3 linked regions of the Sus scrofa genome follow. The protein of the gene in region 1 binds, or shares a complex with, the protein of each later gene. Links are inferred from orthologs where the notes say so. Each region holds a gene or a part of one and is shown on either strand. Other genes may lie near its edges.

Region 1 (10,718 bases):
GCCTACACCACAGCCACAGCAATGCAGGAGTTTTAACCCACTGAGTGAGGCCAGGGATCAAACCGCGCATCCTTATAGATATTATTCGGGTTCTTAACCCACCAAGCCAAAATGGGAACTCCAAGATATATATTTTTTTAACATGTCCCACAAATGGATCTATTTCCTTAAAGACTGCATAGCACTTATATTGATGACAGAATAGCATAACTTGCTCTATTCAACCAACCTGGAATGGACAGATAGGCATTGCCAGTTTTTGCTATCATGAACAATACTGCCTGGATAGCTTATTCTCATATCTTTGTGTGTATTTACAAGTTTTTCTCACAGGCTGAATTATTAGCTGACTCAAAGGAAAATATATATGTGCATTTAAGTTTTAGTAGATATTGTCAACATTCCATCTAAGAGTTTACATAACCTCACATACTAAGAAAATATGGGAGAGTCTTTTTCTCTACATCTTTGCTACCATTGGGTAATAGCAATTTTTTACAGTTTTGCCCATCTGCTCCATTGTTTGGATTTTGTATTTCTTGGAGTAAACTTGAGTGAGGTTGCACAAATGTTTATTGGCCCTTTGTACAAACTTTGCATTTTTATCTGGGCTGCTAGACCACCCTCTTTCTTTTTTTTTTTTTTTTTTTTTTTTTTTTTGGTCTTTTTGCTATTTCTTGGGCCGCTCCCACGGCATATGGAGATTCCCAGGCTAGGGGTCCAATCGGAGTTGTAGCCACCGGCCTACACCAGAGCCACAGCAACACGGGATCCGAGCCGCGTCTGCAACCTACACCACAGCTCATGGCAACGCCGGATCGTTAAACCCACTGAGCAGGGGCAGGGATCGAACCCACAACCTCATGGTTCCTAGTCGGATTCATTAACCACTGCGCCACGACAGGAACTCCTTTTTTTTTCACCCTCTTTCTTTCACTCATTTTCCCAGCCTCCTTCCTGGTCTCCTACTTATTTATTCCTTTCCATTCTATTCTCTACATGCTTCCAGAATAATCTTTCTCATAAGAAAATCTGATTACATTGGTCACCACTCAAAATATGTCAGTGACCATACAGCCTGCAGGGTAAAGAGCCTATCCTCCTTAACCTGATTTAAAAATTCTTTTAGGAGTTCCCTGGTGGCCTAGTAGTTTAGGATCTGGCACTGTCACTGCTGTGGCTCTAGTCACTACTGTGGTATGAGCTCAATCCCTGGCCTGGGAACTTCCAAATGCCACAGATGAGGCCAAAAAAAAGTTATTTATAATCTGGTTCCTGTCCCATCCCAAATGTCCATTAATTGAACACATACTAAGTACAGACACCCCATGGGTGTTGGGGACCCAGAGATGACCCAAATAGGCAAATGTCTGCTTTCTGCAGCTGGCATTCGTGAGCAGTTTTTCTCAACTATTTTTTCATTATTGCTCCTTTCTAGGTGAGAAATGGAATTATCCTTAATTAATTAATTTTGTCTTTTTAGGGCCACACATGCAGCATATGGAGGTTCCCAGGGTAGGGGTGGAATTGGAGCTATAGCTGCTGGCCTATGCCACAGCAACATGGGATCTGAGATGGGTCTGCAACCTACACCACAGTTCATGGCAACATCAGGTCCTTAACCCATTGTGCAAGGCTACGGATCCAATCTGCATCCTCATGGATGGGAGTCAGTTTTGTTGTTTTTTAATTTATTTAATTTATTTATTTGTCCTTTGTCTTTTTAGAGCTGTACCTGTGGCATATGGAGGTTCCCAGGCTAAGGGTCTAATCAGAGCTACAGTTGCTGGCCTACGCCAGAGCCACAGCAACACCAGATCTGAGCTGTATCTGCAACCTGTACCACAGCTCACGGTAACACCGGATCCTTAACCCACTGAGCAAGGCCAGGGATTGAACCCACAACCTCATGGTTCCTAGTCGGATTTGTTTCCGCTGCACCATGATGGGAACTCCTGGATGGGAGTCAGTTTCGTTTCCACTGAGCCACAACTGAACTCCTATCCTTAATTTAAATCAATTTAATCTAATTACATTTAATTTTCCCCTAACAATAGAAATTAAATATTCATAAGTAATATTTTGTCCTGGAGGGTTGGCTTAGGAGGGCTATAAGCCATCACAATGTCTAAGGTTTTTTTTTAAGCCATCTAAGAATTTATTTTGGCTCTCTTGGGAGCCATATCACTCCCGTTGAGAATGCTCTAGGGGGACAGCTGGATTATAAACAAGTAAATGGAAAAGATTATATTAGAGAAGCCAAGAATGTTACTAAAGGAGGGAGGGATTTTCCCCAGTGGCTCAGTGGCTTAAGGATTTGGTGTTGTCACTGCTGTAACTCTGGTCACTGCTGTGGCACAGGTTCCATCCCTGGCCTGAGAACTGCCAAAAAAAGAAACAAACAAAAAAAGATGGAGTTCCCATAGTGGCTCAGCCATAAGGAACCCAACTAATATCCATGAGGATGTGGGTTCAATCCCTGGCCTAACTCACTGGGTTAAGGATTCAGTGTTGCTGTGAGCTGTGGTGTAGGTCGCAGATGAAGCTCAGATATGGCGTTGCTGTGGCTGTGGTGTAGGCCAGCAGCTGTAGCTCCGATGAGACCCCCTAGCCTAGGAACCTCCATATGCTGCAGGTGCAGCTCTAAAAGGAAAAAAAGGAAAGGAGGGAGAATGGTTGAAGGGGCCACTTGACTGCTTGATCATTTTGAATCAGGAAAGCTCTTCCATCGCTTCTCGGCCTTTTGGCTAAGATCAAGTGTAGGAAAGCTCTTCCCAAACAAGGAAGACTAGCTTTGGTTTCTTCAGCTGTAAAATGGAAATAATTTTCTCTCCACAGTTCTCGCAGAATTCAATAACTGAGCTTTATTGCTATTAATAACTTTTTTTTGTCTTTTTAGGGTCGCATCCACCACCATGCAACATACGGAGATTTTAGGGCCTAACCCACACCCGTGGCAAATGGAGTTTCCCAGGCTAGGGACTGAATCATGGCTGTAGCTGCTGGCCTACGCCACAGCCACAGTAACACAGGATCTGAGCCTCGTCTGTGACCTACACCACAGCTCAGAGCAACGCTGCATCCTTAACCCACTGATCAAGGCCAGGGATCAAACCTGCATCCTCATGGATTCTAGTCAGATTCATTTCCACTGAGCCATGATGGGAACTCCTGTTATTAATAACTTTAAATTTTTTAAAAGGTAAATGAATTAGAAAACTATATATAGAACTACCATATGACCCAGCAATCCAACTCTTGGGCACATATCCAGAGAAAACTGTCCTTGAAAAAGATACATGCGCCCATATGTTCATTGCAGCACTATTTGCAATAGCCAAGACTTGGAAACAACCTAGATGTCCATCGACAGATATGGATTAAGAAGATGTGGTATATATACACAATGGAATACTACTCGGCCATAAAAAAGAACAAAATAATGCCATTTGCAGCAACATGGATGGAACTAGAGACTCTCATACCAAGTGAAATAAGTCAGAAAGAGAAAGACACATACTCTACAATATCCCTTGTATCTGGAATCTAATATATGGCACAAATGAAAGTTTCCACAGAAAAGAAAATCATGGACATGGAGAACAGACTGGGGTTACCAAGGGGGAGGGGGAGGGAGTGGAATGTACTGGGAACTTGGAGTTAATAGATGCAATCTATTGCCTTTGGAATGGATAAGCAATGAGATTCTGCTGTACAGCACTGGGAACTATATCTAGTCACTTATGATGGAGCATGATAATGTGAGAAAAAAGAATGTATACATGTATGTGTGACTGGGTCACCTCGTTGTACAGTAGAAAATTGACATAACACTATAAACCAGCTATAATGGAAAAAATAAAAATCATTAATTAAAAAAAGAAGATAAATGAGTTCTTGCTGTGGTGTTGCTGGTTAAGGACCTGGACTTGCTACAGCTGTGACATTGGTCACAGCAGCGGCTGGGATTTGATACCTGACCGGGGAAACTTCCATACGCCACCCGCGGGGCCAAAAAAAAATGGTTAGAACTGCGCCTCTACTCAACTACCTAGTACCAGAGCCCAGCCTCTAATAAGCCAGCGCCTCTACCTCTGTCCACAGGGCGGCACTGTGGGCGCAGCGGCCGGGCTGCTCTAGGCGGCAGAACCGGAAGTCTCGTTCTCCCCACCTTCCGGTCTTTGGCCCAGGCTTGGGCTGCGTGGGGAAGGTTTTAGCTATGCCTACCGGAGACTTTGAGTGAGTATGAGGTCGTGGAGGGGGGCTTGGGAGGCAGATTGGGGGTCCTAGGGCGTATTATGGGGCTCGGGTGCCCCGAGGCCGTGGGATCCGGGCCTCGTCTCACCCAGCCTTCCCCCGCGGCAAACTTGTCCCCGCAGTTCGAAGCCCAGTTGGGCCGACCAGGTGGAGGAGGAGGGAGAGGACGGTGAGTTTGCCCTGTTGCCCAGGATCACCGCAGCCAGCCCCCAGCCCGTCACTGCCGCCTGCTCCAACCCCACCACCCCGACCCTGGCGCCGTTGTCTGACCCAGAATCTCCCTTCACGGCCAGCCCCTGCCCCGCGCCATCCTCATCAGGCCAGCCTGTATCTCCCATTACAGTTGTTCACCGGCCAGTCCCTCTTCCTCCCATGCCACCGTCAAAGTCCTTGGTACCAGCCTAGCTGCTCCCCTGCTCCGGGGAGGAAGTTGTCACAGCCTCTCTCCTGTCTTTGTACTAGCACGGGGATGCCTTTGGCCCGCCCCTGCCTTCATGCCTGGGATCCTCTATGCCGGGCATTGCTGGAAGTCACTACAGTCAGCTCCATGTCCCTGCACGACTCTCCCAGGACACTTCCTGGCTAGTCCCCTACCCTTGGTCCCACCTTTCTTAGCTCCCGGGAGGGGCATCATCCCAAAGGTCCCTCCATTTCAGCTTGGGAGCTCCCCCACCCCCCAGCTGACCCCAGCTCCCCACACTCCCTCTCACAGACAAATGTGTCACCAGCGAGCTCCTCAAGGGAATCCCTCTGGCCACCGGGGATACCAGCCCGGAGCCTGAACTACTACCGGGAGGTGAGTGACAACCTCCCCGCCATCCCTGGGTTGCCTCTTCCCCTGCAGAGTTCCTGCCTGGTCCCCAGTACCCAGGGCTCAGTTCCTCTGTCTCTCCCCCTCTCCCAGCTCCACTGCCACCTCCCAAGGAGGTCATCAATGGAAACATCAAGACAGTGACCGAGTACAAGATAGATGAGGACGGCAAGAAATTCAAGGTGAAGGTTGGGGGAGGAGGTAGATGCCCTTTGCTTGGGGGCTCTTGGACTAGGAGAAAGTGGTGTGTGCTGGGTGGGTTGATGAGGAAGATACCCTGGCCCAGGCCCTCGGAACCTTAAGGAGCAGGAAGCTCAAATTTCTCCCCTCTCCTACCCACAGATTGTCCGCACCTTCAGAATTGAGACTCGGAAGGCCTCAAAGGCTGTGGCAAGGAGGAAGGTAAGACCCTCCTCATCCTGTCTTGGGGCCTCCCCCAGGGCTGACTCAGAGAAAATAAGAATCCTTTTCCCCAGTGCCTGTATTTATTTGGCTATGCCCGGGGCATATGGAAGTTCCCGGTTTACGGGTTGAATCAGAGCTGCAGCTGCCAGCTTACACCACAGCTACAGCGACTCGTGATCGTAGCCACACCTGTGACCTAACCCACAGCTCAGGGCGATGCCGTGTCCTTAACCCACTGCGCAAGGCTGGGAATCGAAGCCATGGATACTGCTGAGCCATAATGGGAACTCCTTAACTGTACCAATTTTGTTGGAGCGGAACTGAGGCCTAAGGGTGTTTGCACTCTGTCGGGGTCCTGAAAAGCCCAGCATGTGCAGGAGTAGGGGGGGTTGTCCGCCAGCAGAAACAAAGCCAAGTCCTCCCCTGAGATGGTCGTAGCAGAAAAAGTCATGGCAGTAAATACATTTGGCACAATTACCTGTGCGCTTTCTCTGCGTTAGACCCAAGCTCTTTGCAGGAAGCGTTTTCCCATTCAGTTCCCCTGGAATTCCAGGGAGGTGGGGGTCCATTGGGGTCCCTTTTCCTGGAGGAGGCAGCTAGGGTTCAGATTGCTTAGCTAGCTCTGGGCCCCTGGAAGTCTGGGTGACCCCTACGCACCCTTGAGCATCACTCCCTGGTAGGAGCTGGTCCGCTACCTGCACCACCCCAGCAGGAGTTGTTGGCTGTGGAGGGGATTGTCCCTGAGCCTCAGTCCTCTAATCTGGAGCATGGAGCCTAGAGCTGCCCTTGCCTCTGGAACTGGTGTGAAGCTAGGGCCTGGCATGCGCTCAGGGAACAGGAACTGTCTTTGTCACTGCTCTGAGGGTCATTTGGGGGAGGCTGGAGAATGGGGTTCAAGGCCCTGGAGCAGACATTGTAAGTCTAGGGAGCCAGCAGAGGGGTCCTGCTTGGCCTTGCTCTGACTTGTCTCTCATCCCACCCTGAGCTCAGAACTGGAAGAAGTTTGGGAACTCAGAGTTCGACCCACCAGGGCCCAATGTGGCCACCACCACGGTCAGTGATGATGTGTCCATGACATTCATCACCAGCAAAGAGGTAAGTAGGCCAGGAGGCTGGGGCCAGTGGCCAGGGTGGTGGCGGCAGTGGCGGGGGGTGCGGCAGTCCCGTCTGAGCTGCCTCTGCCTGCCCTGCCAGGATCTGAACTGCCAGGAAGAGGAGGACCCAATGAACAAGCTCAAGGGCCAGAAGATCGTGTCCTGCCGAATCTGCAAGGGCGACCACTGGACCACCCGCTGCCCCTACAAGGACACACTGGGGCCCATGCAGAAGGAGCTGGCCGAGCAGCTGGGCCTGTCTACTGGCGAGAAGGAGAAGCTGCCTGGAGGTGCTGGGGCCTGGGGACTCGGGGGACAGGGATTGTGTTCACCTCCAGGAGAGTTGTAGGTTGTCACCTGCTGTCTGAACAGGGCCACCGCTGTTGGCAGTTGTCATCTCCCACACAACAGCAAGGCTGCAGCCACAGTCCATGCTTGTGTGTGTGTATGAGAGAGACTGGCGGTGGCTGCTGTGACTGCTGGCGATGTCCCCTGTCCTCTCCTCATTAGGGGCTGTGAGAGCGGCTCGTGTAGGCTTGCACATAATAAATACACTTTGCCTGCAGTGTCTGCATGCACACACCCAGGGCAGACTCACTCATGTGACTGTAAGTTTGAGTCTGGACAGCTCTACGCCCCTGACTTATGTGTGCGACTCATTTGTCACCTGCCGTGTGTGTGTTGGGGGACAGGGGGTGGAACCTGGGGACTGTCCCTATCCCGTGTACCTGTATTTGTGTTCCTATGTTGTGAGACTGGGTGTCACTGTGGGTTCTCACTTCTTGTGCTGCTGGCGGGTGTATAAATGACGTCGGCTTCCCGGATGTGACTTTTAAGTTGTGGCCCTCAGGCCTCGAAGGGCCCAACCGTGTGTGTGGTTTGACAGACGGCTCTTGGGCTGGATGGTGGCCAGAGCTGCCGGCATCCTGGGGCAGATGGGTCCCTCCATCTGTGCCGGGAGAGGCTTGACCCGACCTTGTTGTCCTCCAGAGCTGGAGCCTGTGCAGGCCACACAGAACAAGACGGGCAAGTACGTGCCTCCAAGCCTGCGGGACGGGGCCAGCCGCCGCGGGGAGTCCATGCAGCCCAACCGCAGAGGTGAGGGCACCCAGTTGCCGGGCCGGCGGGGGCGGGCACTTCCCTGTATCCTGTGATCATCCCACGGGCAGGCGCGGCCCCTCACAGACACCTCTCCTTGCCCACTCAGCCGATGACAATGCCACCATCCGTGTCACCAACCTGTCTGAGGACACTCGTGAGACCGACCTGCAGGAGCTCTTCCGGCCCTTTGGCTCCATCTCCCGCATCTACCTAGCCAAGGACAAGACCACTGGCCAGTCCAAGGTGGGCTGGTGGCCATGGGGATGGGGAGGGATCCTTGGTCCTGTCTGTGCCCCATGTGCCCCTGACTCCACCCCCTCCTCCAGGGCTTTGCCTTCATTAGCTTCCACCGCCGTGAGGATGCCGCCCGTGCTATTGCTGGGGTGTCTGGCTTCGGTTATGACCACCTCATCCTCAACGTCGAGTGGGCCAAGTAAGACCCCTGCCCCTCCCCCCACACAGCGTCACTGCTGACACTCAGGCTGGCTGCAGGCCCTGCACCAGGTTAACATTCACCATGCCTGTCCTGGGGCACAGATCATTTATTGTCCTTTTCCTCTGGTGTGGAGGGTTGGGGCAGGACCAGGCTGGTCACTGCCGGTCTGTCTCTTTGTGTGTCCTGGGCCACCACCTTGTCTCACTCTGCCCCACCCCCCATCCCTTTTGAGGTCCCTATTGTGTGTGGCGGTGGGGGGTCTTGGGATTCTCTTAGGGGTATGAAGCCTCTCCGCTAACCATTCTCAGCCACCTCACGTCTCTCTCTCTCTCTAGGCCGTCAACCAACTAAGCCAGCTGCTGCTGCTCCGTCCCCAGCCCTGGGATCCTTCAGTGACCGAAGGCTGGGGGCAGGGGTCTCCAAGGGTAATAAAAAATCTCCAGTTGCCCAGTGCTGTTCCATTTATTCACAGATGTCGCTCACACTGTTGGGGGGTGGGGCCATCCTGCCCTCCTTCCTCCCCCTCCCTGATGTGGGTTTATTTCCTGGCCCTGTCCAGAGTTGGTGCTGTGGCAGAAGTTCCTGCCACTCTGGCTTCAGTGCTCCCTGGTCCCACTCTAGACCTTTCTGTGGAGGAGTACGCTTAGGGCCTATTGAGGATTCAGGGCCAGGGGCCTGCTGTGCTCTCAGCCCCTATTCTTTTGCCAGGTCCCAGGATCTGGTGATGAGGAGGGGGCTAGAGATGGTCCAGGTCATGGGCTCAACTCAGGGGACTGGGGCCCTGAGGTTTTGGGAGTAGCTGTGACATTGAGTGGCAGGGATTGGCTGGAGCACTCGGCCTTCTCCGGGGTCTGGCCCTCCCTGCAGCCAAGGCAGTGTTGGCGGCAACAGCCCAGGCTGGGCACCACCGCCATGTAGAGCAGCGGGTGGATGCAGATGGCCAGGGGGATGAGGCCCCGTGTTACCTGGTAGGCCACATATGTCCTCCAGTCCAGTGCCTTCTCAGCCTGGGCTGTGCTTGTGAAGCCTGGGCAGAGGGCCCTCCAGCGCTGCCGGGCATACACGTTGAGCACCTGTGTGACATAGTAGGGCACATAGGAACTAGCATAGAGGGCCACACCACTGGCTACCAGCACTATCACGTGCAGCTTGTTGGCCGCTGTCATGCCGTGGCTACGCCGCACGGCCCGCCCCAGGGCGCCATAGGCTGCCAGGTTGAGCAGCAGCGGCAGGCCACAGCCCAGGGCCAGCAGCACCAGGCCATAGACTCTGTAGGCCTCAAGCTGGTTGTCATCTGCCGTTCCTAGGCACTTGATGCAGGCCTCCGGTGTGGCCACAGTGCACCTGCCTTCCTGCTTCGGCCTCTTCAAGTGGGAGAAGCTGAGTGTGGGTGCAGCCAGCAGGGCTGCCAGCACCCAGCCAGCAGTGCTGATGGCCCAGGCGTGCTTGGGCTGCAGTTGGCTGTGGGTGAAGAAGGGATGGACAATGCCCAGATAGCGGTTGAGGCTGATGCAGGTGATGAAGATGACGCTACCCAGCAGGTTGCAGGTGAAGAGGAAGCGCTCCAGGCGGCAGGTGACCTCCCCATAGCGCCAGTGTTTGGGTGGGTAGAAGTAGGCAGCCAGCGGGGGTAGTGTCAGGGCATAGAGCAGGTCGCTGATGGCCAGTTGGGCGGAGAAGATCACGGCTGGGTGCCATGGGCGCTGCTCCCGTGTGCAGAAGCGGTACAAGGCCAGACTGTTGCCAGCAAGGGCCACCAGGAACTCAGCTACCAGCATGGGCCACAGAAAGTCTTCCTGGAAGCCACTGAGGATGCGGTCAGCAGCCGCTGAGAAGTGGGCTGGACAGTCCTTATCACCTGTGGGCAGAGGGTGTTGCTGAGTGAGCCCTGTCCCTGAACCTGGCACCTGCTCCCTTCAGAGTTCCAAGTGCCTCTGGCACCACATACCTACCACAGACTGGGCCTGCATCAGCCCTATGCGAGCCCAGTTTCACTGAGTGCTTTTTCACACCTGGCAGTGGGCACCAGCCACAGCTCCTTTGTGTGGAGGAAATCGGAGGCCCGGATAGAGGCCTTTCATTCAGCTGATGGTTACCAGGTTCTCTTTGTGTCCCGCACCATCAAGAACCAGCTGGGGAGAGTTCCCATTGTGGCTCAGTGGGTTAAGAACCCGATTAGTGGCCATGAGGATGTGGGTTCGATCCCTAGCTTTGCTCAGTGGGTCAGAGATCCCATTAAGGAGTTCCCGTTGTGGCTCAGTGGAAACAAATTTGACTAGCATCCATGAGGATGCGGGTTCGATCCCTGGCCTCACTCAGTGTGGGTTGAGGATCTGGCGTTGTGATGAGCTGTGATATAGGTTGCAGACGCAGCTTGGATTCTGAGTTGCTGCGGCTGTGGTGTAGGCTGGCAGCTACAGTTCCAATTTGACCCCTAGCCTGAGGGGCTAAAAAGACAAAAAAAAAAAAAAAAAAAAATCAAATCCCGTTAAGATGCAGCTTGGATCCAGTGTTGCCGTGGCTGTGGTATAGGCTGGCAGTTGCACTTCCAATTTGATCCCTAGCCCAGAACTTCCATTTGCCATAGGTATGGCCATTAAAAAAAAAAGAAAAA
Region 2 (10,004 bases), about 41 Mb from region 1:
TGCATCTGTCCTCTGGTTGCTAGGCCTATCTGCATTAAATATCACAGAGGGTATTCATTAAGAATTCTAGTGCTGGAGTTCCGAGTGGTGCGGTGGGTTAGAGTGGTGCGGTGGGTTAAGATCCGACTGCAGCAGCCTGTGTTGCTCTTCAGAGGCGCAGGTTTGCTCCCAGGCCTGTCACAGTGCGTTAAAGGATCTGGTGGTAGGAACTTCCATGTGCTGTAGCTGTGGCCATTTAAAAAAACAAAAAGAATTCTAGGGTCCTATTCCTGCAATCATGCAGGGAAAGGGGGGGGGGTTCCCCTAATAAGGTATTAGTTCTTTATAGGACTACTTGAGACTCAAACCAAGCATTAGAAAGAAGCCTATCAACATTTCTGTACATTACTCTTAAAAACCACATAAAAAAAATCCTAATTAACAGTTAAATCACTTTACAATAAATGCAATTACTGGGGAAGAATTCTAGGCCAATTATAAAAAATTGATCATGATTAACATTTGCAGATCATTTACTATGTGACAGACACTGAGCTGAGTGCTTTTACCCATCTTAATTTAATCCTCACAACCACAAATTAACTCCTATATTCTGGTTTCCTAGAGGAAGATGTGGTTTCGAATGTAGGTCTGATTCTAAAATCTAGGCTTTTTTTTTTTTTTTTTCCCCCACAGCTACAACTGTACCTGCAGCATATGAAAGTTCCTGGGGCTGGGGGTAGAACTGGAGCTCCAAGCTGCATCTGTGACCTATGCCGCAGCTTGCAGCAATGCCAGATCCTTAATACATGCAATTTATGTTTCCACTGAATTTTCAATCTACGACAAATATAATCTGCTAACCTACTAAACATAACACATTTGTTACAAAAGGATCTAGCAATGTTAGCATAAAGCTCAGCTTCAAGAATAAAAATCTCATTTTCCATGGGGTAGGAGAAATCCTAGGAAAAAAATGAAAATGTTCCAGTTGCTTACCATCAATAACAAATGCTTCAACATCATCAGCTCCAATCTGAAGTTCTTGTTGCATTGTGTCAAAAGAAATTTCTTTATTTTCCACTGCCATTCCCATAAAAGTGAGTAGCCTCATTTTTGCCATATTCTGTTCATGTAGTAGGCCTGAGTAACACAATAGAGAAGCCAGGTAAGAATCCACTCTTATTAAAGACCTGCACAACACAACCCTTGTTTTAAAGTGTGGAAGTCACTGTGCGTGAGCATGTATACAGAATTAAGTTTCACAAAGTTTCTTGTATTTGCAAACCATAAACTGACCCCATAATTATGGAGCACCTAAAATTATTTCTCTATAAACGCATTTCTTTATTGCTTCAGTGTCAGAGGTGATTAAGTTCAAAGTTAAGAATGAGCTATCAATTGGTATTTTTAGGCACTAAAAGTTATGTAATTTTAATTTTTAATATTTATACAATTTATGAGATAGAGTACACAAAGTACATTTCATAAACATTTTTATTTAATTGCTTAAGCTTGTTTTTACTAATAGCTCTCCTCTTAAATACAAGATTACTTACTATCTGTTCTGTATCAGTGTTACTGGTAAATATGGAGTTTTAAAATACTTTAATACTTAAAAAAGTCAGAACTGCAAAAGTATGTTTATCATTTAACATTTACAGTTTTAAAATGATTAGTACTAGATAAATTAACAGTGATACTTTTTTAAGCTAAAGTAGAAAAGTACAAATTTTGCCTTGTAATTTCTAGTGAAACATTCTATTTACAATTACTCACATCACAAATAACTGTTAGACCTAGAAGGAAATTTAACAGATTACCTAGTCCCAATCCTATCTCTTAAAACACAAAATTGCAGAGGAAAGATATTAAGTGACTTATTAGTTACAAAGTGGCAGTACTAGGCCTAGAAAATAAGTTCATTTATAAATCACTAGAAATATAAGTTATCTACAAATCCTGAACATCTAAATTATTACCCATTCCTAAAAAGAAGCTGCAATATAACCCATCAAATATACTTCATTTGAGGCTAATTTCTTAATTACAAAAACAAGTTTCTAAAATTAATCTAGATTTACATGTTTCTTTTTTCTGAAATTTAAGATTATGTAAACTCAGCAAATGACTGATCAGGAACCCTTAAGTAATTAAGAGCCTCAAGTTGTATTGTTAAAAAAGTTCTAAGCACTCCATAAATAAATCTGAAATTTGTAACATTCATATATTAGCAGAAGCCTGGGGAAGCCCATTAATACAGGACATAATCGTCTGTTAATTAGCTGTAATTATAATGCAGGCTTTCTATTTGGCACAGATTCAACAAAAACATGATCATCATAACTCAAATGAATGAGGTATCCAAGTAAGTACTGCTAACTGGGTTTAATGGAAATCTACAAGCATCAAAAAATCAATTAGTGCACATTAACCCTAATTAACAAATGCAAATTAGATGCTGATTAACTTTCCGAAACAAGAAGGTAGCAACTGGATAACACCAGATTACATGTGGACATGTTAGGGCAATTCAGTTGACACAAGATAGTGCTACTGTTGGCCCAAGTTGTCAGTGTTAATAAAACAAAGTGTTTTGAGATAAACTGATGCCACCTGTGGAATCCAGACATTTTAACCAGAATTTCAGCTGTAATAAATGTTTAATGATACATCTAAAACCAAAATACATACTTAATGTCTTTCTCAAAGACAGACAAAGTTCTAATAAATGATTTCTAATTCACACAGATTGCAAGAAACAAAAGGCAAAACAGGGAAACTGATTTCTGGTTCGTACAATGAATGAAAGATGCTATTATGTTTCCCCTACCACAGACAGCAAATACTTAAGATTTTTCTCACTATCTGGCAATACAAGAATATTTCCTTAACATTATGAATTCTACAGACACAGTTCTCTTTTAATATGATAAAACTTCTAAAATTTCTAAGCTATCATTAGAAATAGTCTCAGTTGAATTTTACTGCTATTCTTTGTGCAGTTACAACTTACTATAAATCAAAAAACCTATCAGAGGATTGAAGATTATTTCTAGAATCAATTATGTAAAACCACGACCTTACATGTGGAAACGGGACTTTAAAAACACTTAAACTGATGTTTAAAGTCACTAGTACTTTAAAACAAAGAACCAAACTTAAAGCATTTAAGACTCCTGTTCTCAAAATCAAACTATTAAGCCAGTGAAGAAGACTAGTAGGAAAGCTGTGCTTTGTTTCATGAAAGTAGAACATTACCTTCAAAGATGAAGTCAGTGTTCTATGCCATATTTCAATTTTAAAGTTATAAAAAAATCTAATTTTATGGAAACATTTATTCATTACTAATATGTCAAAACCTTAATGCAGTAATAAAAAAATGTGCATCATTGAACAATTTCTGCATTGTCACTGACCCCTGTCTTAAAATGCTGCAATATAGAAAACGTAATTTTAATGCATGCAATAGCTTATGAACCAGTGCTCCTTTGAAACAGTCAATTACACATCAATGGGGGAGTGTCAAAGTGTTAATTACTACTCCTTTTTCTTTGGTGCGTAAATAAAGAGGTTGCTGACATTAACATTCCATCACATAGCTCATGCCACAAAACAAATTAACTGGGACAGAATGTGGTTTTCTGGGTCTAGTGCACCTGGCAAAGCCTTCAGCACAAACACACTTGCATCTCCTTTATATTGGTGTATTTCAAATGCTTATTATGTTCAGAATGATTCAATCTTTCCCAATTCCAATGGCTGCACAGAATTTACAGGTGATGGGAATTAAGATTACCAAATTGAGGACTAATAGTATAATCAAAGTAGATTATAAATGTATTCTTTACACCTCAGTCAGGAAGACTAACAATTCAACTTTAATATGGAAAATATCACTAGACTCTAATTCTGATTATTACCTAGTAGAAAAACAGAGTACTTGGTTTCAGTTGATGTCACTCTTTAAAAATGGGTTTAGAACAATTTAAACCTGTTCAACTAAATATTTTCTAAGTTTTCTCCCTGTAATTTCGGCATGTTAAAAACATGCTCGAGGAGGAAATACTGAATATATATGCAGTTTGCTCAGTGAGGATGAGTAAATCCAATTTGGCAACAATTAGTGAGCTTTGATGCTCTAGAAAGAGAACTCAAAGATAAAAATCACAAAGCTTATGAGCATCCCACTCTGGTGCAGCGGGATCAGCAGCATCTTACAGCACTGGGGTGCAGGTTCAATCCCCAGCCCGGCACAGTGGGTTAAAGATCTGACATTGCCACAGCTGCAGCTTGGGTCACAACTGGCTAAGTCTGACCCCTGGCCTGGGAACTCCATATGCTGCAAGGTGGCCAAAACAAAACAAAAAAAATCAAAGTTTAGACTTACTATGCTATCTTCAACAAAGTGTAATTAGAAAAGTTTCTTTTATCATGTAAAACCACTACAATTCCATTTCTAACCCCATCTACAATTTCACTTAGTTGTATCTTCTTAGCAATACAAAATACTTATACAATTTGTCAATGGAGGCGGGGGGGAGCCAACCGAGTAAAAGATACTACCTAAGAAGAAAAAAGCTATTTGTTACAATTATGACTATGGCTTTTAAAGTACCAAAAATGTGAATCACCATGTACCTAAGGAATAAGATCCTGACGTCACTGGTTAGGTTAATTTACACATAAGGCCATGTTCATATGTGCTAGGATCTCACATTCCCATCACTCTCTTCTACCACCCCTCCCCCAAGGAAAATCCTCAAAACTTACCAAGTGAATCAATGAAGTCTTTATTATTCTGATAAAACTTGACATATGATGCCAACTTAGCACTCACAAAAATGGTTAAAAGCTAAACAGATAGAAACAAAAAAACCTGTCACAATGGAATCAAGATTTATGCTCAAGATATTTTTAAAAAGACACTAACTCCCAGCAACAAGACTACGCATTTCTTTCTGGCAGAAATTTCAATCTGTTTGATCAAATTAATATCTAAACCATTTGCTTTTATCAGACTCAACTGAGATGAAAGAATAAGTAGATACAGTGAGCTCTAAACAGTGTACCCTAAGAGATGGTGGTAATGACATAGTACAAATAGAAAACAGCCCAAAATACACTTCATTTGAAAAGTGTGTTGTGTTTTTCAAATATCAGATTTATCTTGCTAATTGGAGCTAGCTGACACTGTATGCTAAAAAGAAATTTGTACTAAGTTAATAATGGCCAGGAAAGTGAGGAGATGAAGGAAAGGGGAAGAGGAACAGGAGTGTGTTCAGTGGTTGGAGAAACCCTTAATGCTGGTCCTAAATTTCAGTCTGTTCCTGATATAGAATGAATAAATAGTTCTCTTTCCAGATCTAATAGTCATGTTCATTAATATCAAGAGAGTTCTGGCTCAGTATGTTAGATTTAGGGGAAAAGAACATTTTTCACATTACAGATAAACTACTTACATCATGAATAAGCTCGCCTTCCAAAAACTTGACTGGTTTCAAAGTAAGAAGGTGGTCAAAAAGAAATGCATTTGGATCTTTCAATGCTCGCACAATACACCTTAATTAGAAAACAAAAATCCAAGCTCAGAGTCTTGAAATTCAGGTACTTTTCACTGCCTTTGTGGACTGCAAAATACACTCAACTAAGTAAAATATCTGAGAGTTCAATATACACATCATAAGAAAAAGCTACAAGATTAGGGTTAAAAAAAGTCAATCTATCAGCTATACATTTTAATAAAATTACCTGTACACAAAAATATAGCTGGAGAGTAATCAAACAATAAATACAACAGCAGTATTTAACCATATGCCAGACCCTAAGGTAAGTGCTTTAACATGTATCACCTCGTTTCATCCTCACAGCATCCTGAGGCACATACACTATTAACACGCTCATTTTATCAATGATGAAACTAGCTTAGAAAGAACCAGGAAGTGCTAATTAAGTGGTCAAGCACTTGAGCAGGCATTGTGACCTCAGAGTCAGAGACCTTTTCCACCAACACCTATCATGTACAGGTTATTGTGAAGCAAGAGCCCTATAAAGAAGTTATCTTAATTTTCTATTTCATAGATTTCTAAGTTTTTAGAAAGCCACCCATTTTCCCCCATCTACACAGCTGAATATTAAGGTAAAACTGACCCAAGATTAGGTTCTACTACTCATGTTGAGAACTGCCATTCCCATAAAACCCAAGAAAACAAACACCATGTGGTCATTTCAAATGTATCCTATGGTGCTCTCAACACCAAATCTTAAATTTTGGTATCTACATTAGAATCATCAAAGAGCACATGGTATCAAATGGCTTTGGATCACTGGTGGATGTATTCAGTCACATGACTGAAGACTGTAGCTCACCTCCACCCTGCTGAGAGCGGTCACTGGAACACAGTGTTTAACGTTACCTGTGAGCATCAACTCGAGCCTGGGAAGCATTGTCCTCTGTGTAACTTCCTAGCAATTCCACCATGACTTTTGATGCAGCATCACTGAAAAGAAATACAGCTTTAGGAATTTCAGAGTGTCATTACAGCCACTCATTCATTCAAAAATATTTACTAAGTGCCAAGTACTGTGCTGATGATGCATACAATGATGATCCAGAGAGACAGTCCTCCTCTAGGGGAAAGGTCATGGAACTTTCCTTTTAGTCAGAAAGAGGCAACTAAGGAAAAGTAACAAAAAGTAAGTGCCAAAAGGAAATAAACGGTGATGTAATAGAGTCATCAGAGCAGAGATAGGAAAGAAAAGACTACCTCATATGGAAAATGAGCAGGGAAAGTCTCTCTCTGAAGAAATGACATATAAGCTGAGATCTAAAGGATATAAAATAACTGGCCATGAAAAGTGCTAGAGGTGGAATGTGAGAGTTGAATGACTTTTCAAGCAGTGAGAAGACTAGGTATAAAGGCCCTAGGTGAGAAAAAAGTTTTGTTTTGGTATAGCTGAAGGTGAGCCAAGACCAAATATTTATACGACTCCACTAATGACATCCTTACAAACACCTTTAAAATTAAAATTATGTAGATTATCCATTTTAACTGCAGGGAAAAGAACAAAATAATTAAAGGCATTCATTCACCTCGAACTCCTAGAAAATGTTTAATAATAATGTTCCTCCTTCATTTCTTCCTTTAAACTGAAGAATCTTCAGCCAGTTATAGCAAGTTTGCTAAGTAGGAGAAGTAGCTGGGATTCCCCTCCCCACTTTGTGCTTTCTAAAAATCTTCCCATCTCCCACACACACATCTGGATTCAACCCGGGTAAAATAAAATCCATGCCATTTATTTTTAAAAGAGATATTCTACTCAGGGATCAAGATCACGGAGGAATAAGACATGGAGCTTACCTTCTCCCACAAACACATCAAAAAAAACCCACCTACATACAGAATGATTTGCACAGAACATCTACCGAATGCTGGCAGAAGACTTTAAAAACCTCCAAAAAGGGCAAGAAACCCTTCACATAACTGGGTAGAACAAAAGGAAAAAGAGAGAGCGAGTGAAAGGAATCAGGACGGGACTAGCACTCCTGAGAGGGAACTGTGAAGGAGGAAAGGAACCCACCCCTGGGAAGCCTACTGACAGATAAGCCAAGACGGAGGGACCTCAAAGCCACAGAGAAAAGCACAGCAGCTGGACTGAGGAGGGCAAAGCAGAGAGAGAGAGCCACGCACAAACCATCAATATCACCTCCCAAGACACCACAGCCTGAGATGCTTGGGCAGGGGCTGGGTGTGGAGACTCAGGCTCTGGAGGTCAGTTCCAGGGAGATGACTAGAGCTGGCTGTGTGGAGACAGCCTGAGGGGCGTTAGGGACTGGTGCACCAAGGGCTGTGGAGCGGAATGCCACAGCCAAGGGAAACTGGGAGATCTGGGCCCACAGGAGAAGCAAGGTGCTATTGTTGGGGAGGGCAGAAAGAGGAGTAGACCACCATAGGAATATCTTTCTCTGCGCATGCCTCGACTCTGAGAGTGGGGCTACAGGCGACGGGCCCCTCTTGCACAGGCTAAGCGCAACAGGGCGCTCCTGTGTGGTATACAGGTGGCAGGGGCAAACTCATTTATCTCATACTCTAGAAGTGGGCATGGCCTGCCACCACTAGGGGTCCATGAACAGGCACCACCTACAGCCCCAGTCATCTCAGAGGTCAGCACTGCAACCAAGCACCACCCTTTGTTGCTCTCACTGCCAAATGCTCTGGGTACCAACTACACCTGCCTGAGGGTCACTATCACTTCCCAGGGCCCTGCAACTAGGATTAGCCTACACAACCTTCCTGCAGGTCCTTGTCATTGTCAAGGACCCAGCAACCAGGCACTGGCTACAAGCCCTGTCCATTGCCTCCATCTCTCTGGAAGCACACCCAGAACCCTAAAAAGAAATCGTAAGCCCTCACAAAATACCCCAGGGGTGCTCACGCATACATACAGACCTCCAAAACTACAGTAGTTGTTTTCCCTAAACTCACAGAACAACAATACAAGCAAAATGAAGAAACTCAGGAACCATTCCCAGTTAAAATAGGAGAATTCACCTGAAGGAGCAAACAATGAAACAGACCTCTGCAGTCTAACAGACACCAAGTTCAAAAATGAGGTAATGAAAATACTGAAAGAATCAAGAGCAGATATGAACAGTAATGCAGATTACTTTAGAAAAAAACTAAAAAATATGAGGAGGAACCAAGAAAAATTAGAAAATTCATTTGCAGAGAAGCAAGCTGAGTTAAAGGCACCAAAGAGCAGAATGAATAATGCAGAGGAACATATCAGTGACTTGGAAATCACACAATCAGCACAGCAGACAGAAAACCAAATGAAAGAACATGACAGCAATGTAAGAGATCTATGGGATAATATAAAGGGGGCCAATCTACACATAATAGGGATTCCAGAAGGAGAAGTAAAAGAGGATGGAAAATATGTTTGGAGAAATTATGGCTGAAAACTTTCTAAATCTAAAGGAAACAGGTATCAAGATACAGGAGGCACAGAGGGTCCCAAACAAGCTGAACCCCAACAGGCCCACACCAAGAGCATTATATTAAAAATGGTAAAATTTAAAAATAAAGAGAGGATTCTAAAGGCAGCAAGAGAAAAACAGTTAATTATAAGGGAACCCATATAAGGCTATCACCTGATTTCTCTACAGAAACACTACAGGCCAGAAGAGAGTGGCAAGATATATTCAAAGTTCTAAAAGGGAAAAATCTGCAGCCTAGAATACTCTACCCAGCAAGAGTATCATTTAAAATAGAGAAATAAACAATTTTTCCAACAAACAAAAACTAAAAGAGTACAGCAATACTAAACCCATTCTCAAAGAAATACTGAAAGGGCTGCTCTAAATAAAAAAGTAAGAAGAAAAAGGATGGAGGAAATCACAACTGGAAAGTAATCACTTTAAATAAGCCAGTATACAGACCTAAGAGAAGAAGCGAAAAAAAACAAAACAAAAAACCCCTACTGTAAAAGCAATGATAAACACAAGGAACAGCAAAATGATAAACACTAAGATGTTAAAAAAGGACATCAAAATCATAAAACATGGGGAAGGAAAGTAAGAAAATATACTCTTTCTGTAAGAATGGGTTTAAGCCTATATGACTCTCAGGCTAAAGCAAAGCAGATATAGGAAGAGGTTAACATACTTGAAAAACAGGGCAACCACAATCAAAACCAAACAATACATTCACAAAAACTAAAAAGAAAAGGACATAGCATAGAAGAAATGAAAATCTTCCAGCCAAAAAAAGGAACAAAGGAGAAACACAGAATCAACTGGAAAACAAGGTTTAAAATGGCAATAAATATATATCTATCAATAATTACCTTAAATGTCAATGGGCTGAATGCTCCAATCAAGACATAGTGGTAGAGTGTATAAAAAAACCAAGACCCTACAATATGCTGAGACTCACCTCAGGGCAAAGGACACATATAAATTGAAAAGGGATGGGAAAACATATTTCATGTGAACGGAAGACAGGAAAGCAGGAATTGCAATA
Region 3 (10,543 bases), on another chromosome or scaffold:
CATTTAATTCAATTCATTAAGTTTTCAACATCCTATTATGGCTTAGCATTCAGCTGAATTCCATCTTGATGCCAACTTCTCTCATATTCAGAACTGTTATCAATCAAATTCTTGGTTAAGCTAGGTCAAGAATAAGACAATGAACACTAAACAAGTGGCGTATTTATTTTCAATGGTACAGCATGATAATTAAATGAGGTTAAGTATTTTTCAGTAACAAACATGCTTCCTAACTAAAAACTTCCTAGTTTATAAAACCTGTTAGGGTATTGAAATGATATAGTTAGTACTGTCTTCAAAATAATCTGGTTGGGAGAGGAGAGCAGTAACTGGGGATATAGAAGAAATAAGATTGGTCATGGGTTTACTAAATTTTTCTTTGTACTTATTTCTCACAAGAAGTTACACACACATACTTGCAGATACCATTTCCTAGCAAAATGCCCACCTTCTGAGAATTTCCCAACAATCTCCCATTTCTCTGAAATGTAGATCCCTTACTTCAGAAGTGCTGTTTCCAAAGCTTGAAAAATGTCCTTACTCTAGTATATTTAAACTATTAAACAGGATTGAAGTCTAACAGGCAGTTCAATGGGTAGGATAAGGCAGGCAGTTTTCTATTAAGTCAGTTCTTTAGGATCTTCCCAGGAACTTCTGCATGCCACAGGGGCAGCAAAAAAAGAAAAAACTCAAAAAACAAACTCTACACATTCTGAATAAATGTAGCTTCGAATATGTTTTACTGAAATGACAGGAAACTAGTAAAATGGAGTAAAAGTTGTTTTGTTCCTGCTTGCACCAATGGATGGATACTCACTGCCTTCTTAACAGTCTACACATCATTCCAGCAACACGGAAAGAATCCAGAGATACATGCCAAGCAAACAATTCTCCCCACTGCCTCTGCATAACATCAGGAGGATAATAAGAAAGGGAAAATAATTTGACAGGAAAGTACGCTCCCTAGTTCTCACTTTTCTTTTTTTCTTTGTCTTTTTGACTTTTCTAGCCCCGCTCCCAAGGCATATGAAGGTTCCCAGGCTAGGGGTTTAATTGGAGCTGCAGCCACAGGCCTACGCCACAGCCACAGCCACAGCAACAAGGGATCCAAGCCGGGTCTGCAACCTACACCACAGCTCAGGGCAATGCTGGATCCTTAACCCACTGAGCAAGGCCAGGAATCAAACCTGCAACCTCATGGTTCCTAGTCAGATTCGTTAACCACTGCGCCACAACAGGAACTCCCTAATTCTCACCTTAAATGGGAAGAAGCTTGGGCTTTCCCTCATGAATATTAACAGTTCTATAGTTTCACCCAAATCCACTCTGTCACTTTCAGACAGCTCCTTGCAAAGTCAAGGGCATCAAAATGCTATGTCTACTTAAAGACAGTAAACTACTGGAACAAGTTACTCTAACACAGACCTCAGTTTTCCTTTCATTTCTCAGGACATTACAAACGACATTAAACCTATACTCTTAAATAAACACTGGATGCTGACATAAACTGAAGAACTTAACTGTTTCTACATACTTTACTTTTGAAGACTTTTAAAAAAATTCACATACAGTATTATTTAAGGACTAGGAGTATTTTTCCTGCTGGAAACTAAACTTTGCTTGCATCCCCTTACAAAAGGATTAAGTGCTAAAACATGAGAATTCAGAAATTTGGTATTATAGCTATCCCTTTTTTGGCTGCACCCACGACATGTGGAAGTTCCTGGGCCAGGGATCAAACCCACGCCACACAACAACTCAAGCTGCTGTAGTGACAATACCAGATCCTCAACCCTCTGAGCCATGGAACTCCTACCCCTCTTTTTGAAAGTTCACTTTACACCACTTCGGAACGCTTTTATGAATACCTACATTGGCACCTGTGTTCACTAGATGAAAGAAATCCAAAGAGGATTTTTGCTTTTGTGACAAGTGAAAACAGTATTCAGCATTTGTTTTGCCAGGAGCCATTAGAGAGGCAGCGTGCATCCCAAGCAGCAAGACTTGCATTGCTAAGCTCCTTTCCCAAGCTACCCAGTATCTCAGCATCAAGGTACCATACACAGCTTTGCACTGTATCTGTAAGCATTTGTGCTTTATCTTGATTTATTTTGTGCATCTGTTAGCAAGATGTGTCCTAAGGTTAACTGCTTCTTTTAGCTTAGGAAAGGTTTCATAGCAATGCTCTATTTTGGGGGGTAGCAGGGAAAACCTGTACTCACTAACATTGAAGGTGACAAATTTCAACTCTAGATTGGTAACCTCTGAGCACGCAAAAACTTGCTTGATAACCATGGTCATTCCATTCAAAACAAATTCACAGTAAACAGCCATTGTGGAGAGAACTTACTCCTTCAAGCTTAATAAACCACAAACTGTGGCACAAAAATAACCCTCAGCTACTAGATCTACACAGCCTTAACAAATTTTCCATTAACCAGAAAAATTAAGACTACATCCTCAAGTGAGACGGAATTAACATTTATTGAACGCCTACCAAGTGCCAGGTAACTATGCTTAATGCTTGACACATTATCTCATTTAAAATGCAAAAGGAGTTCCCGTTCCCGTAGTGGCACAGTGGAAAGGAATCTGACTAGGAACCATGAGGTTGTGGGTTCAATCCCTGGCCTCGCTCAGTGGGTTAAGAGTCCGGCATTGCTATGAGCTGTGGTGTAGGTCGAAGACTCGGCTGGGATCTGGTGTTGCTGTGGCTGTGGTGGTGTAGGCCCGCAGCTACAGCTCTGATTAGAACCCTAGTCTGGGAACAAAGGTCTGGGAACCTCCATATGCAGCAGGTGCAGCCCTAAAAAAAGCAAAAAACAAAAACAAAACCCCCCAAAAAATAGAAAATGCAAAATAATTTCCTGAGGTAGCTTCTGTGAAGACTGGGAAACTTAAAAAATTTAAAAATTCTTTATAGAAAATGTCAAGACAACAGCATAGATTCTGGTCTGTCTGATTCCAAATTCCAGGAATCAAACTACTCCATGGATACCTTATCTTAGAAATCTTTGGAGAAACTAAACAGAAATAAACCAATATTTCAACATGGAAATAAAATGAACAAGTTCAGCTTTCTATTCCAAGATCTACATCAAAGTTTCTGTAAAAGAAGTACGCTATTTGTATAAAAGAAAGAAATTCTGCACTTAAAAATGACTGGACAAGATGATCTTTATGGTCCCTCACCAATTAAAAATGTCCAAAATTAATTTCAAGTGGCTAGAACTGTATTTATCAGGATTGATGGCATTTATATCAAATAATTTCAGGCACGCTACCTCATGATATTAATCCAGACTACTTTATTCAAACTTCGTATTTTGGTAATTCTTTCCTGATTTCTCTAGTTGTTTCTTCTCACTCATTCCTAATTTTCTTAACAGATGTCTTAACTCCTACAACCACTATGCACAGAAAAAGTAAAAGGATAAATCTGAACTAAAGGTTCAAGACAGAAAATCTGCCACCACGTAGGGAGGTAACTAGTATCTTGCAATGAGGCTAACACAATCCATTCTCATGTCTACACAACATGTAAATGAAGCATCTAAGTATCTTCACAATACTATTGCTCATTTATTAATCCCAAGGTCTGCAAAACTCAAATCATACTTGAACCTCAGGCAATTCAATGAATTGAACATCCACCTCATCAGATTCAGGAGAAAAGGGTACAATCTAAAAAAGGCAATATTAATATGAAGCTCATAGTGATTATCTAGCTTAAATTTTTTTCAACACAAGCAGAAGGACTTGTAGGGTTGTCAAAGTGAGCTGAAGGGTAAACATTCACCAAATGAATCAAAACCATAAAAAAAATTTCCAAATCATACAAAACTTGATTTTCACAAAAATGAAGTATTTGAGAACTTAGTTAATAAGTCTTAACATTCCACCCTTGAGACTCTGTAGATACTTGAAAACAAAAACAAAAACAAAAACAAAACGCAGTAGTCATAATGTCATCTGAAGTCTTATGATGAGCCCCCAGGAGTTTTCATAAACAAACAGCGAGAGTAAGTTGGGTTCAAATCTATAAGGCATAGGAAAAACACACAAAAAATCACTGTCTCCCTCGTCTTCTCCAACCTTCAAATCTTCATTATTTCCTTATGCTTTCGTGTGTAGGTTATTAAAAACTCACTCTGTAAACCTCTCCATTTTTCAGGTCGCTGTGTGGACTACCCAGGTTTCTGACCACTAACTGCTAGCTATCTCAATACTCAGTTCACCCTTTTACCATAGGGTGGGAGAAAGGAAGCTAAAAATTCTTTCATTTGCGTGGGGGGAAAAAAAGGTGGCTGAAATTAAATCATAATATTTCACTCCTCTAACAGCTCGAACAAACTCTTCAAATGAAGCTTGGGATGTAAATGAGTTACTGGCCTGGGGAAACCTGAGCTCGAAAAAGCAATGGGGTGCAAGACTTTCCATATGGGATAAGCCAGAGGCTCCATCCTCAACTTCCCAGTCTCACCACTGAAGAGCAGCTCCGGACCGCGAAGTTTGCACGTGGGCCGGTCCAGCCTCTGCTGTCACCTCCCGTCGCCAGTTGGCGAGTGGGATCCAGGCCGGAGTGCGGTCCTTCAAAGGGATGGGGCTGGCGTCCTCGCCAAGGAAATCCGAGAGACCACGCTATCGGCCTCCGGCCCCCAGGGCCGGCGAGCGAGGGGAACAGGGCACCACCAGGCCCTACGCTTGCGCCTAGACCCACAGCCCGCAGGCCGGGGCGGCGCCTCTGGGCCCAGAGTCCGTCCGACCGACCGCCCCTCGGCGAGCACCCCGGCCCGCGACGGCGCCAGCTCGCTCCCGCGCTGGCCGGAGCCCCGACCCGCACCCACCTTGACGTCCTCGTCCTCGTCCTCGCCTTCCCAGCGGTCCCCGCCGGCGGTGCCGCCGCCCCCCACCTTCCGCACTGGGTCATCCACGGAGAACGTGTCTGCGTCTACGGAAGAGAGCGAGCTGTGTTAAAGCTTGCTTGGGCGTGGGGCTGGCGCCAGCCCCGGCCTACCCCCGGAACTTCTCCTCACCCCAAGAATCGGAGTCCCCCGCCGCTGCTGCCGCCGCCGCCGCCGCCATCTCGCGCCGGGTATGAGCGTGTGTGAGGCGACAGCGAGCGAGGAGTTAGCGCGGCAGTGAGTCACTGGATCTGCTCTCGTTTGCCGGCGCGGGGCAGGCTGGGACTGTGGCTGACTTAACGCCGGGGCCCAGGCTCCTCCCCCTCTGGCGGCGGCGGCGGCGGCGATGCTCTCGCGGGCGGGAAGGGGGCGTGGAACGCGGTGGGCGAGGCGGAGCGTCCAGTACCCCACGCACCCAGCAGGGTGGTCCTGTCTGCTAGTGGGGTGGGGAGAGAGGAAGAGGCTAGGAGGCAGCCACCCTACGCCCTGGGGAGAAAAATGTAAGTGCGGCGAAGTTAGCAGGGCAGTCCTTTTCCCGGTGCTTGGCTCTCTCCTGCCCTTGCCATCCTAACCCATACCCGCCCGGACCGGTCGGGTGCGCCCTCCTTCTGTTCACATGGATCGCCACCCTTGGCCTCTGGCTGGTCCCAAGGAAACCCGCAGCCTCTCCACGCGGCACTCAGAAGTGGGCTCTGAACGCCGAGCCCGCCTGTGGCGGCAGTCGCCTGGCTCCCCGACCCCAGGAGGGTGCGGTCGCTGGCGGAACGAGGCGGGATCCCTCTGGAAGCCGGTGGTGCATGGGGCGGCCAGGAAGAAGCGAATAGAGAGGGCCAAGCTCCTGGCAGTCTTCCCAGTCAGGGTGTTCAGTCAGCTCCTGGCACGTTTGCCTCCAGGTAGTCACGAAGATATGGAAGGGAGTCCCCATGTTCAAGAATTTTTCCTTCCTGTGAGCCCCCTGAAGTCAATACATTATTCATTCTTTTCGCAGAATAATTTCGGAACTCGATCTGCGCTAAGCGTAAGCTCTAGCCTTGTCCTCGCTCACTCAAGTATAGACATATAAACAAATTTCGACACAGTGAGATGACTGCAACAAAAAGGCATTGTGAGGTTTAGTGTAAAAGGATAGCATTAACCGCAGAGAAGAGAGGTAGGATATATGAAAGGCTACCTGAGGGTAAGTGAGGCCGATAAAGAGTTTTAAAGACCAACCAAGTGAAATGTGTTCAGTGCCTTTTATGCTTGTGGTCCCTGTTCTGACTGAATGGCGCAATCAGAGATAAGCTGAAAAGATAAATTTATAATACTAAAGGGTTTAAGATGAGCTAAGCTGCACCTAGCTTGGGCCACTGAGCTCCACTTCAGGATTTTAAAAGGTGAGCTGTTAAACATATTTTTGTTTTTGTTGTTTTCTTAATTTCTTAGTTTTGAATATGTAACATACGTACTTGGTACAACATTCATTCAAATGGGTATATAGGATGATCAGCCATTATGTTCTTTCTGGTGGCAACCAGTGTTCCCCATTTCTTATGTATCTTTTTCAGTGAGTCTACAAATAGACCACATTTTATAAAGATGGTCTTCCAAAAGATATTCTGCAGCCCAGTTACTCAAAGTTTTTTCCTGATCAGCCACACTTGGGAGTTTGTTAGAAATGTAGAATCTTAGATCCCAGCCCAGAATCAGAATCTGCCTTTTAAGAAGATCTGAGGATGGGGAGTTCCTTTTGTGGTCTAGTGGGTTAAGAACCTGACTAGTACCCATGAGGTTGCCAGGTGGATCCCTGGCCCCGCTCAGTGGGTTAAGGATCTGCTGTCGCTGCAAACTTTGGTTTAGGTCGAAGTTGCTGCTCTGACCTGGTGTGGCTGTGGCTGTGGCATAGGCCAGCAACTGTATCTACGATTGGACCCCTAGCCTGGGAACTTCCATATGCCACAGGTCTGGCACTAAAAAGAAAAAAAAAAAAAAAAATCTGTGGATGACTGTGAAGCATGAGAGGCTTTAATCCCTTTATAAAGAGGGATTGGAAGGAGGCAAGACTGGTGGCAAGGAAAGGCTAGGAAGAATGTAAGGTACCTAGGGCACAATCTGTTTTTATTCAAAGTTTTATCTCCAGCATTTGGCACAGTATCTAATACATTAGTAAATATTTTATGAAGTGAGACTACAACCCTAAAGTAAGGCAATGGCAATAGAGATGAAGGAATCAATGTGAGAAATAATTAAAAGTCAGAATCAACAGAATTTAGTGACTGGTGATTAATTTTGTGTCAGTTGGGGTAGGCCATGGTACTGTTTTGGGTTAAACAGTAGTCTAGTTGTTGCCGTGAATATGTTTTTTTGTTTGTGATTAACCTTTAAATCAGCAGACTTTGAATAAAGCAAATTACACTCTGTAACGTGATGGGTCTCATCCAGTCAATTGAAGACATTAAGAAAAACACTGAGGAAAAAGAAATTCTGCCTCCTGACTGCCCGTGGACTCTGCAGCATCAGCTCTTCTGTGGGTCTCCAGCCCGCTGACCTGCCCTGCAGATTTCAGACTTGCCAACTCCCACAATTACGTGAGCCAATTTCTTAAAATAAATCTTTCTTCCTTTACGTGCACATCCTATTGGTTCTGTTTCTATGAATAATCCCAGTATAGTGACTGACTGGATATGGAAGAGGAGGGGAAGGGAGCAGTAGAGGATCATGCCTTTGGACACTGAGTGAGTGGAGGTAACACCTGGCAGCTATCCTTGCTCTCTTTTCCCATCTACCCCTTAAATTCAGACCATCACCAAGGTCTGCAATTTACTTCCAGTATTAATCTTGAATTTATATAATTATCCCCCTGTGTCGTGCTTCCACCTTAATCCAAGCTTTCTATAGACTCTTCTACTATAACAACCTTCCAGTTGTTTTCTTTCTTTTACTCTTCCCCCTCCACAATCCGTTCACTACACACCAGGCAGTTTATTTAAAAAATGTAAATCAGGAATACCTGCTGTGGCTCAGTAGGAAAGAATCTGACTAGTATCCATGTGGACGCAGGTTGATCCCTGGCCTTGCTCAGTGGGTCAAGGATCCAGAGTGAGCTGTGGTATAGGTTGCAGATGAGGCTCCGATCTGGCGTGGCTGTGGTTGTGGCCTAGACCAGCAGCTGCAGCTCCAATTCAACCCCTAGCCTGGGAACCTCCATACGCTGAGGCTGAGCGTGAAGCCCTAAAAAGAAAAAAAGAAAAAAAAAATGCAAATCAGATCATCACACCCCTTCCTCCCAGTTGAAATCCTGCCTCCCATCAACCCTCTTATGCCATTCTTTCCCATTAATATCATTGCTGCTGGCCCTCTGAGGCTGCTTAAGCCTTTCCCTATTTTTGGACTTTGTATTTGCTGTTCTTTCTACCTACAGTGCTCTTGCTTTCTTCCTTTCTTTTTTAAGAAATTTTACCAGAGTATATTTGAATTTATCTTAGTTTCAGGTATACAGCAAAGTGATTCAGTGATACATATATATACTCTTTTTCAGATTCTTTTCACATGTAGGTTATTACAGTATTTTGAGTGGAATTCCCTGTGCTCTATAGTAGGTCCTTGTTGGTTATCTATTTTATATATCATGTGTGTATTACAGTGCTCTTTCCATACCTCTTTACATGGCTTTCCTTCCTCCTTAAACCCAAAGTTCAAATGTTACCTTTGCAGAAAGCACTTCCCTGATCTCTGTCCAGCAAGGGGCCTCACCCAATTACTCTAGCTCATCACTCTGTTTTTGTCATAGATTTATGACAATCTCCAGTGATCTTGTTTACTTATTTAATATCTGTTTAGAGCACAGGGATTTTGTCTGTGTTCTTTGCTGCTGTATTCCCAGTGCCTCACATGTAGTAAATGCTCCATAAATGTTTCTGAAAATGACTGGTGTTTCTCATCATAATAAGGAATGAGGATGAGTTTTAGCCACATGGATCCTGACATTACTATGAGACATTCAAGTAGAAATGTCTAGTATACATGGAGAGCTCTGAGCTACAGACAGTGGATTAGGAGTTATCTGATGATAGTGGTAGATGGAATCATGTGAGAGTAGAGGCCGTATGAAGATAGGATAGAATGAGAAGAAACCTTGAAGGATTTCAGTACTTACAAGTAGCCAGGGGAGTTCCTGTCGTGGCTCAGTGGTTAACAAATCCTACTAGGAACCATGAGGTTGCGGGTTCGATCCCTGGCCTTGCTCAGTGGGTTAAGGATCCGGCGTTGCCGTGAGCTGTGGTGTAGGCTGGCAGCTACAGCTCCGATTGCACCCCTAGCCTGGGAACCTTCATATGCTGTGGTACAGCCCTAGAAAATGCAAAAAGACAAAAAGACAAAAAAAAAAAAAAAAAAAAAGTAGCCAGGGAAAGAGTTCCTGCTGTGGAACAGTGGGTTAGGGATCCCGTTTCTCTCTGTGGAGGTGCTGTTTCAATCCTTGGCCTGGGGCAGTGGGTTAAGGATCTGGCATTACTGCAGCTGTGACATGTGTAGGTCACAGCTGCAGCTTGGAACTGATCCCTGGCCTAGGAATTTCCATATGCTGTGAATGCAGCTGAAAAAGAAAAGCAGGGGAAAAAAAAAGTAGCCAGAGAAAAAAGGGTTTAAGTAGTAAGTTTAAAACAAACAAACAAACAAACAAAAAAACGTTGTATCCTTCCAATTCTACTACATTTGGTTTTTTTTTATATATAAATTTTAAAATACTATGTAATATAGTGTATTTGAAAATTCACTATTGGGAGTCAGGAGACCTGGACTCTAATCATTCAAATCATCACATTATATAGAACTGAGCACTGGACACTTGTGGTGAGCTGTGGGAAAAGCTCACAATGATTTCTCCTTTTCTGCAAATTGTCCTAATGTACAAGAGTACATGGCTTCCCAAGCCATATTTACTCCCTTACTATCACTGATCTGGGCAGGGGGTTCAGAAACTGATTAACTATGAAGCTAATAAAAGTGTAGCTTTAGGGCCCCTAATTGCATAGGTCCCTCCATTCTTTAAGAAAGTCCTCCAAATTGTATATACTTCAAACTATAAAATCTAGGTATTAGTAGGTAAGATATTAGTTGCTCATTGGAACTATCAAAATCTCCAAAGATTATCCTTGAATGCATAGTATCCAAGTCCTTATATAATTTTCTCCCTTGAATCTGGGCTAGCCCTATGATTCATTTTTGACCAGTAGAACAGGACTGAAGTCACCCAAAGCTAGGCTATAACAAGCCTTGCAGCTTCTACCTGCATCTTTTGGAATGCTTACTCTGGTAGAAGCCAGTTGCTATTTAAGAAGTCTTACTACCCTAAGATTGCCATGTTGTTTCAAGCTAACCTCATGGAAAAACTGTTTAGGGAGAGAAAAGTACTCAGCAAGCCCCTGGCCGTTCCAGGTTATGCCAGCAGATGCCAAACTTGGGAGCAAAGAAGCCACCTTGGACATTCAGCCTAGTTGAGCCTTCAGATGATTCTATCACTAACTACCATTTGAAGGCAACCACAGAAGAACCCAAGCAAGAGCTGCCCAGTTGAACCCAGTCAACCACACATCTGTGAAACTTATCTTAAGCCTCTTAAGTTTTGAGGTGAATCATTATACAGTGATAACAGAAAGATT

Evidence for each region.
Region 2: EIF3G (region 1) and EIF3M share a complex: the UniProt entries of both Homo sapiens proteins name them as parts of the eukaryotic translation initiation factor 3 (eIF-3) complex. The link is inferred for Sus scrofa from reciprocal best matches to the Homo sapiens genes EIF3G and EIF3M.
Region 3: EIF3G (region 1) and EIF3J share a complex: the UniProt entries of both Homo sapiens proteins name them as parts of the eukaryotic translation initiation factor 3 (eIF-3) complex. The link is inferred for Sus scrofa from reciprocal best matches to the Homo sapiens genes EIF3G and EIF3J.

Annotation. Positions count from the first base shown.
Region 1 is NC_010444.4:68,964,057-68,974,774, reverse strand, and holds EIF3G (eukaryotic translation initiation factor 3 subunit G), read left to right. Parts: upstream 1-4,126; 5' UTR 4,127-4,219; coding exon 4,220-4,239; intron 4,240-4,379; coding exon 4,380-4,426; intron 4,427-4,969; coding exon 4,970-5,053; intron 5,054-5,161; coding exon 5,162-5,250; intron 5,251-5,410; coding exon 5,411-5,470; intron 5,471-6,463; coding exon 6,464-6,568; intron 6,569-6,667; coding exon 6,668-6,857; intron 6,858-7,557; coding exon 7,558-7,665; intron 7,666-7,774; coding exon 7,775-7,911; intron 7,912-7,994; coding exon 7,995-8,101; intron 8,102-8,439; coding exon 8,440-8,455; 3' UTR 8,456-8,554; downstream 8,555-10,718. Other genes in the region: P2RY11 (P2Y purinoceptor 11), read right to left, coding at 8,857-9,962. UniProt on the Homo sapiens protein: RNA-binding component of the eukaryotic translation initiation factor 3 (eIF-3) complex, which is required for several steps in the initiation of protein synthesis.
Region 2 is NC_010444.4:28,259,399-28,269,402, forward strand, and holds part of EIF3M (eukaryotic translation initiation factor 3 subunit M), read right to left. Parts: intron 6,480-10,004; coding exon 6,396-6,479; intron 5,542-6,395; coding exon 5,442-5,541; intron 4,835-5,441; coding exon 4,753-4,834; intron 1,123-4,752; coding exon 979-1,122; intron 1-978. UniProt on the Homo sapiens protein: Component of the eukaryotic translation initiation factor 3 (eIF-3) complex, which is required for several steps in the initiation of protein synthesis.
Region 3 is NC_010443.5:127,014,046-127,024,588, forward strand, and holds the start of EIF3J (eukaryotic translation initiation factor 3 subunit J), read right to left. Parts: upstream 5,220-10,543; 5' UTR 5,086-5,219; coding exon 5,037-5,085; intron 4,952-5,036; coding exon 4,848-4,951; intron 1-4,847. UniProt on the Homo sapiens protein: Component of the eukaryotic translation initiation factor 3 (eIF-3) complex, which is required for several steps in the initiation of protein synthesis.